2 linked regions of the Drosophila melanogaster genome follow. The protein of the gene in region 1 interacts with the protein of each later gene in a pairwise test. Each region holds a gene or a part of one and is shown in the gene's direction. Other genes may lie near its edges. The genes, in order: Klf15 and CrebA.

Region 1 (3,850 bases):
GCAAGTCGGACTTACTAGGCAACCGACGCAGTGACCCTTCTTCATCTGTATGCCCCTTCTATATGGATGTACTTACTTTGTATATCCTGACAACTGCTTAGCTCATTTGACTGCTGCCAGGACAACGAGGACACTTTGGCAATAATATCGTCCGGTTGTCGGCTTTAAGTCCTCGGATTTGCTTCGTAAATACTTGCAAACGGCTTCAAAATGTCCGGCTTAAATGAGTGGGAGTTTCGAGTTCTGGGTGCTATGATTAAACTGAGGTGACAACATTTTGCCGAGTGCAATTTACAGTAAAATTGTATGCATAATTTCCGTTATGACACTTGCGGTGCGCACACACACAGACACACACGCACACATTTGAACGGAGAAATTTATTTGCAGATAGATGGATAGATAGATGTGGTTACACATTCCCAAAACACTGCAGGAAAATTCCTTTTTGCAATTGCTGGGCGGACTAACCTCATCTAAAAACCACTTGATTTCAAATATTTCGGAATTTAATTAATATGCTGCAAAATGGTTTCAAAGGCGAACCTTATTTACAATCGAAGTTATATATCTTTTTATGTCCTGCTACCTGTTTCCACCGGTGCATGTTTGTATTGGCCTACGAATCTGTAAGTAAGTGGACGACCAGGCACTACGGCTAAATACCAGAACTGCCTGCAGGCAGCATTCTAATTTATGTTATCCTTGCCACTCCACTGAGGCCACACAAAGGGAAATTCTATGCACATATACAGAAATCAGAGTCGCAATACCCTGCTGTAATTACAAAGTGCCAGAGTCGAACTCACAGCCAGACTCCACAATTGAGAATACAGAATCCGGTATCCGGAATACAGAATCCCAAGTCCCGAGTCCCAGACCCGCAGACCAGTTGATATCCTTTAAATCCCTTTAATGCCGGCGCGCAGCCTTTGATTTTTGCAATATCAATTAGCGTAAAACGCGTAGGCCGCCAAAAACTGGTGAAACTGGTCGTGATTGGTGGGTTGGGGGGCATACCAGCCCATGAGGATTTACAGCTGCTGATTATTTCATTAGGCGAAAGTAAATTTAAACGCCAGCCGCACGTTAAATTTATGTTAATTTCCGAAGGGCTGCCAGCCAAAAAGGATGCGGAAATGGCATAGACGAGGAGCAAAAGCTAAGGGAAACTGGAAACTGGCACAGACAGCCTCGGAAAATGAGACGTTCGAGGGGGCGGGTGGGTCTAGTTGAAGGCAAATGGGTGGAATACTATATTACAGCTCGTGCAGGGTCACATTTTAATGCTGCATTCTTGCGCATTACAATGCACTTTAAGTGAATTGTAAATTGCACACCACTGTCTGTATTAAATATGAACGAAATGAGTTGTCAAAAAAAAAAAAAAATGACTAGCTATCAACCTTTTCCAACTGACCATATGCTGCAAATGGACCGTTGCCAAGCCAAATGATTTTCGAACAGAAAAATATTTTCAAACAGATAACTTTCCGTGAATTTAAAACCATATCTGCGGCTCCACTTGACACACATAGGAAACGCACTTGTTTTGCTTGGAACCGAAACACTGATGATCGACCGGGAATATCCATATCCATCCCCCGGGCATATCTAGTTCGCTAGTAATAATCATTAATTAATAACAAATTTGTATTGATTGTCCGGCGAGCAAAACAAAAACAAAAGAGCGAGATGGCGCACTGAAAGCGGGAGATCAGGTGCCGCGCGGCTATACATATATAGCAATATAGCTAGCCGATCTGTGGCCTGACACTGCTTGGCACTCGGCATCCGTCAGCGATTTCGATAGCATTGCGGATTCCCGGACCCGGCCACCAAAAACCCGGGCACATGTGTCGCCGATCAATGCGCGCAACATCTGGTGCGAATGGATATGTACGTACGTATGGATGTATCTTTATCTCAGTCTCGGACTAATGAAGCCGGCAGCGCGTTAGATACGTTGCTCGCCGGCTAATTATTCCCCAAGGGATCCTGGCCACCAATCACTGGAAGCAATCGAGCCACGATCGCAATGAGTGCATCTCTTGATACCCATTGTTCTAGGCAGATCGCAGGGTATGCTATACTATTGTACTTGTAAAAGAAACAATTTAAGTAAACATTCTTTTCATGACATATCAATATGATTTTAAGTACTTAGGGTATATGCCCTGCGATTCCCAACCAGATTCAATGGCTCTCATCAACTTTTCCGACGCCTGTCACTCATCCGGATTGTCCGTGGATATTATAAATATTTGGACACTCGACTGGAGTCCGCTCATTTGCGATCATGGACTTCTTTGCGACGGGTGGATTCCAGCAGCTTTACAGCGACTTGGAAGAGGAGCCACTGGCCGGCGGCGATGCGCTGCTAAATATAGTCAGTGTTGGGGAATTCGATAGCACCTATGTGGATACTAGCTTTTCCGGTGGCAACTATAATCAGCTGGAATTCGAGGAGTCGGATTATTATGGCATCATCACATTGGACAGTAATAATAATACAAATACTAATGGGAATATCCAGGTGGGTCTGCCCCACGTGGAGGATCCTTCATTGTTCATCGACTTCAATGACCTGACCGTATGTCCGCCGGACTTAAGTGATTGGGAGCAGCGACTGCTGGATAACTACGTAGAGATTCCGGACCTGGTGGACTTTCTGCCGGAACGAACTCCCCTGTGCACGGATAACTGTGCGGACTTTCTGGAGGAGAGCAACAGCAATCTGCGGCTGTCGGGGCCACCACATTCAGAGATTTTCGTTCCCGATCGATCGTCTTCCTCGCCCGGCAGCAGTGATTCCGCCAGTCCAGCTGAAGCTGTTGCCCCACCTTCTGCCCTCCAGATGAGTGAAAATGCCGCCGGCGAACGGGGTTACCTGTGCACCTTTGGCAATTGCGAAAAGATCTACGCCAAGCCCGCGCATCTGAAGGCCCATTTGAGGCGGCATCTAGGCGAGAAGCCCTACGTCTGCAGTTGGCCAGATTGCGTCTGGCGGTTCTCCCGATCCGATGAACTGGCCCGCCACAAGCGCTCCCATTCCGGCGTGAAGCCGTACAAATGTGACTACTGTTCCAAGTGCTTCGCCAGGTCGGATCACCTCACCAAGCATCGTAAGGTGCACGAAAGACGTCTTCTGGCCGCCTCCAGAGCTGGCAGATCCCTGATCTCCGACGATCTGTATGCCGTGCGACCAGGTCGAAAGCGAAAGAATCAGTTATGACCACATTCCAAGGACACGATGGATGAGTTAGTTTTAACGTTTTGTACTATTTTTTTTTTTTTTATCACTTAAGATTAGTTCGCATGGGAAACATATCCATAAAATAGAGCTGAAGTATTCCTTCTTTTGTTAGGAAAATTATCAAGAGTTTTATTTCGAATGGGAATATTGATGGTAATAATTACTTGCTGCTCTGTTTTACATAAATGAAATGTGTTTGCTGATTTAAATACGGAAATCATAAACCATTGATAAACTCATTTAGCAGAGTAAAGGAGCATATGATTTAATAAAAAGAAAAAGGGTTACACGCATGAAGTTAATTCATTACAAAAGTTAAATCGAATTTATTAATATAATGAAAAAGGCTAATTTTACGCGGCAGAGCAATTATATCCAACTAAGCAGTGATGTTTCAACAACAGTAGGCCGTTTGCATAGCTTCAAAAAATTTATTAGCGTACATTATATTTATATACTTAAAACATTCAACACAATTCGAGAAATATGGACCGAAATAAGCCACTCAGACTAATTGGCCTCTCCAGTACCGAGCCCGAAAAACAAACGAAACTTACACTGAACCATCTATGTCAGCTGCCAGCACAATGTCCC
Region 2 (5,188 bases), on another chromosome or scaffold:
CAGATCTTTCGATCTTGATGTTAAGTAAAATTATCAATAATGTCCTCTTTCTCTCCGTGTAAAATACAAAACACTCGCACACTTAGTCGATTCATGGGGCTGTTTATACACTCACAATGCACATTGATGATGTTGTTGATGGGATTGTGATTCAAGTATGTGCGCGTATATACACAAAATTTTGAAACAAGAAGGGAAAGGCTACCCTTGCAAATTTACCATAAACCTCTTAAATTGACACCGAGAGTCAATTGATGTGAAGCCATGGAATCGATCAACTTTGACAAGATCATCTTAACCTTTTTCCCAATTAGAAAGTGTAACGAAATGTTTTTGGAAGTGAGTGCGAACAAAACGCTCTTCTCTATATCGAATACAGCGCACAAATATCTGTGTCATAATTCAGGGAAATCCACTACGACCAAACGAAAGGAGAAATCAATGTACTCAGCGACGAAAAAGAAGGGCGCACCAATGATCTGATCCCTCTCAGAGGCGTCTTGTTGGCCCAGCCAATTTACTATGTGGTGTAAGCCATATTGGGGATTTTCAAATTTGAAATTTTTAAATGAATACAATAAAATCACGTCAACAAACAAGAAATTAGTGGCCGAGAGCTGTGTGTATATTTTCAGCGGGGGTATACATGACGTGCACGGAGCACGGAGCTATAGTCATATACCTATGCCTCTCCATATGTATTACACAAGCGTTTTTGTGAAAACATCGCCGTTGTCATCGTCGTTTGTCTGCGCTGTATCTGTTGCCCGGGCAGCTTTAAACCGGATCTTTGGTTTGAAAGTACATTCACTTTGCGTCGTCGCCGTCGTCGCAGCATTGCAGCAGCAGCAGCAGCAACAGCAGCGACAGCAGCAGCAGCATAAGTCCAGGCCAGGCCCCAAAGATCCCCACAGCCATATCCATATCCATAGGCTCTGGCTCTCAAAGATCTCCGAACAAAACTCTTGGCTCCCAGCTCCGGCAAACAGCCTTCAAATGACTCGGCTTGGCCCGCCTGTGTTGGAATGGCCCGACTCTCTATGGTCTGCACATGTGCATAGTTCAAATAACTTGGTCAAGTTGACAAGATCAACGGAGCGAGTGTTACCAAGCGGCAGCAGCCAAAGTCGGGTCTGGTTGCAGAGCGGGGTACACCCCCCGTCCTATTCCATCGTGCATTCGGGCCAAATCAAATACTCGCAGCAACAACACAAAATCTATAATAAAAAACAGGTTAACAAATGTTGCCGCAACGCTGACGTCGACGCAGCCCATAGCGTCGGAAGAAACTTGTTTTCCTTTCCTATGCGGCTCCGGGTCTCAAATCTCAAATCTCGGGCCCCTGGTCTCCGATCTCCGGTCTCAAAACGACGTCAAAGCCGGCTTACGACAATCAACTTACATTCACTTCTCGAAACCCCAAAGAGCGTGAAAGTTTCACTAAGAGCACGCTTTTCGGGAGAGAGTCGGATACTATCGCATTTGGATTCGGATTCGATGCCGGCTAACCCGCATGTTACACAGTATCAAGGGTAGATTGGTGGCCAAGAACCATGGGAATACAATATTTGAAATGTATAGTACACGGCTTCAGTCTTCAGTTACAACTACCCCAAACACGTTAAGAAGTCAATAAATTCAATTAAACTATAGCAAATGTAACATAAGGTATGTGATTAGTTGACCTTTGGGAACGAAAAGCAACAACCCCAAACGTTTCCCGTAGATTAACGAATCAATAACACTATTAACACAGGATATTAGAAATACGATGTTATTTTGTAGCGATCTTTTCAAATTGAAAGAGTATATTTAGGCCATTTATTGTACCTTTTCTCTTCTCATTTTAATGAGGAAACATCAATTCATCATATCCTTAATTTAAATTTGTTATTTTTTTTATTACAAAAGTATCAATTGTTCGAGGTTTTCTGTATGAAATTCTGAAATTGCCGGCATTATAAGCGCAGAGAGAGAGAGACAAAGAGATAGACGGAAAGAGAGCGCTATACGTGCGGAAGAGAGACAAAGCGTTGTAGCGGAAAAGAGAGCGACTGAGCGGCGGCAGCGACGTCAGCAGAGGACTGACGTTTCGATTCGTTCGTTCGCATTCACAAGAATTTCACCGACATTTAGTTTAGTACCGTTTTTGGCTGCAGTCGCACTACGGACAGTTTATTCTAATTGTGTGCTACCATCCCATACATCCAAACATACAAATATTATTGCTAAAGTTAACGATATTAACTACACATATTAAATGCTATTATACACGGGCCGAGCAAAGCCATTTCTAAAGCGGTTTACTGCCCATTCACACACAAAACACATCAAAAAATTCAATTAAATCAATTGAAATCGTAATCGAGTCCAAAACACAGTACAGCGAAAAGAAAAATCAAATAAACTAAAATTATATGGTTATCAACGTTGAATCTAAACATACATATAATAACTATTTTCTATGAAAATCGAGTGTTTCGTTTCCGAATCGGGAAAAAAGTTAATAATTCAATTAATGTTAACGCCAAATATAATCCGACGAGAAAAGCGCATGCAACAAGTTAAATCCAGCCGACAGTTGTAAACCAAGTTAGATCCGTACACAGATACACCCCAAATACCACAACCAATACGAATGAATGCCCGGTATACACATACAAACGAAAAAGTCACACACACACACACACACGCAGACTATAACAATGTCAAGTGAAAACATTCTCTGGAAGCAACAGGTTTCCCCTTAATAAGTGTTATAAAGAAGCAACCAACAGTCATCACCCAGAACTGTTCTTTACGGAAAAAAAGTAAAGTAAAAAATAAAAGAGAAAGAGAGGTAGAAGAGCGCACGAGGAATAAAGAAGATAAAGTATAAAGAAAGAGAAAGAGCGGAGAAAGAGCCACTTTTCAGTCAGCAAAATCGTATAAAAATAATAGTATAATACCATAAACTACAAAAATTATAAGAAGACAGTTCTTAAGTGGGTTAAAGTAGAAAAATTAGTGTGACTGCAACCGAGTGGAACCGAATTAAACCATACCACACCATCCCCGAACCGCAATAAAAAAAAAACAACTAAAAGAGTTCTTAGAGCGCATCTGACTAGCGCCAACCATGGAATTCTACGATGGCGACCTCAAAGATATATGGGACTCCGACTTAGATCCGGTAAGTGTTCAAATTACCACTCCCGAGCACAATTAAAAATGCGAAAAGCAACTTGTACCCCCATATTATATCAGTCAGAACAGAACCATTGATACTTGAGAGCTTTTATTACAGCAGGTATGCTTGATATGGGCTATACGAGTATGTGAAAGTTAAAGCCGACAACTCGAACGCAACGATAAGAAAATGTCCGAGATATACATTGGTAGCTCTTATATGTATATTATAGCTCACTAAATTTTATGTGGCAATGCCCCAACTAAACTTGGTGAACTCCTTGAACTTCGATCTTTGACTACAGAGACATCTTCAATACGATTATTAAGTCATTTCGGTGTACATTTTAAACATGCAAGAGTCGTGCTTCCACGAAACGAAATTGCATTTTAAAAAATCTAAAGAAAAACACTTTAATGACCCACATTAAGCTTATCAGTTGGGGAGAAAAAACGTGAACTTATTCATGAGCTGAATTCTAAGTATGATGATCGATTTGAGAAAAGGAAAATGAAGAAACGAATTTCGATCTCCAGGGTCCCACGGAATTTAGCCAGTTTTCTTTTCTTTCTCTGCATATTAAGTGGTTCGCATTTATATGTATATGTATGCGATCACCTGAGAGAATACCGATCACCGACAAACTGGCCTACGATCAAACCTGTCCCAAGCCACCTCATAAAAATGTCCGCTCACCGCACCACCAAAATTTCGAATGTAAAAAAAAAAAAAATAACCGTATAGTGAAAAAAACAAACCAGAATCTAATCGAACTGCCCGGCTTCCAGACATCAGACACCGTAATATACAACACACCCAGAATCACAGTTTTGGTTTCATTTTCGTGGAGGACGTTCTTGGATTGCCGAACCCAATGGCATTACTCAATAGAAAAACAAAAAAAAAAAAACTTTGCCAAATAGATACGACCGATACGACCGAATCAAACAAACCCTCTAGTGCCGAAAGGAAAAGGCAGCTTTCAAGGCTTTTTATCTTGGCAGTTACGTGCTCGTTTTGGGAGAAAGACAATTTTTAGTGACTTTTTGTGTTCGAATATATCAATTTACATGGTTTTTTTTGATAAGCGACTGCGACTATATCTGGCATTCAGGAAACATTTCTGTTCATAACTTAGAAGTTTCGCTGTCCTACAAAGTTGTTTTGTCTTGGGTGGCGATAATGATAATTGAAGTTTTCCAAGAAATTAAAAGAAATTTATCATTAGCGAACGATTTCTGTTTCGGTTGTTTTGTCGTCGTAGTTCCATTCACTATCACCCCCGCAACTTGAACTACTCGTCGTACTGCAATCGTGAATTGTTTCAATATAATGAAATGAGTATGTGCCGGGCTGAGCTTCATTTGCGGAGTACTCATAGATGGAGATGCCGTCGTCTATTGCTTATCGCTGCGGAAACAGTAATGAATACATGTCGTCCGCCCGTCCATTCAGCCCAAGTCCGTCCGTTTCACTTGTTCTTGCTGTTGTACACGGTAAAAAAAAAAAACAGATCAAAATCAAATTTAGTAGATACTTACAATAATTGTATCAGTTTCAATTAATAACGTCGTTTTTTTTCGTACTTAGTGATTTTTTCTTAGAAATGGTCCGGGTTCAAGTATAAATAAATAAAATGTTTTTCACTTTGATAAAAATTAGCTTTAAAAAGCAACGGATTCAATACAACAAAAAAATTGTAATACATTTCAACGTAATTTAAAATTTCTGTCGCTTTCTTTATAACGATAAATTTGTATAATATGTTTCATAAATTTTCGCTCTCAACTTTTGCGCGCTGTGTAGAGGAAGCTCTGCTGGGCGAGCACAAAAGAAAAGAATCTATTACAGTTTGGGAGGAGGACACATGTGGAGTTGATAAGAGGCTGCTATCAGCTGGTCTAAATGCAAAGTAATGACTTTTTTCGCCTGCCTGCCTGCCTGCTGCTGCTGCTGCTGCACTTTGCAGCTAGTCAAATAGAGTATGGCTCGTCAGTGTCATTACTATTGGGAGATAAT

Evidence for each region.
Region 2: the proteins of Klf15 (region 1) and CrebA interact in a two-hybrid assay, tested with the Drosophila melanogaster proteins (one large-scale study listed by BioGRID).

The regions. Positions count from the first base shown.
Region 1 is NC_004354.4:4,769,967-4,773,816, reverse strand, and holds Klf15 (Kruppel-like factor 15), read left to right. Parts: upstream 1-2,228; 5' UTR 2,229-2,299; coding exon 2,300-3,235; 3' UTR 3,236-3,260; downstream 3,261-3,850. Other genes in the region: CG15472 (uncharacterized protein), read left to right, coding at 3,743-3,850.
Region 2 is NT_037436.4:15,533,284-15,538,471, forward strand, and holds the start of CrebA (Cyclic-AMP response element binding protein A), read left to right. Parts: upstream 1-2,111; 5' UTR 2,112-3,118; coding exon 3,119-3,172; intron 3,173-5,188. UniProt on the Drosophila melanogaster protein: Transcriptional activator. Binds to fat body-specific enhancers of alcohol dehydrogenase (ADH) and yolk protein genes. BBF-2 may play a role in fat body gene expression. It binds the consensus sequence 5'-T[AC]NACGTAN[TG]C-3'.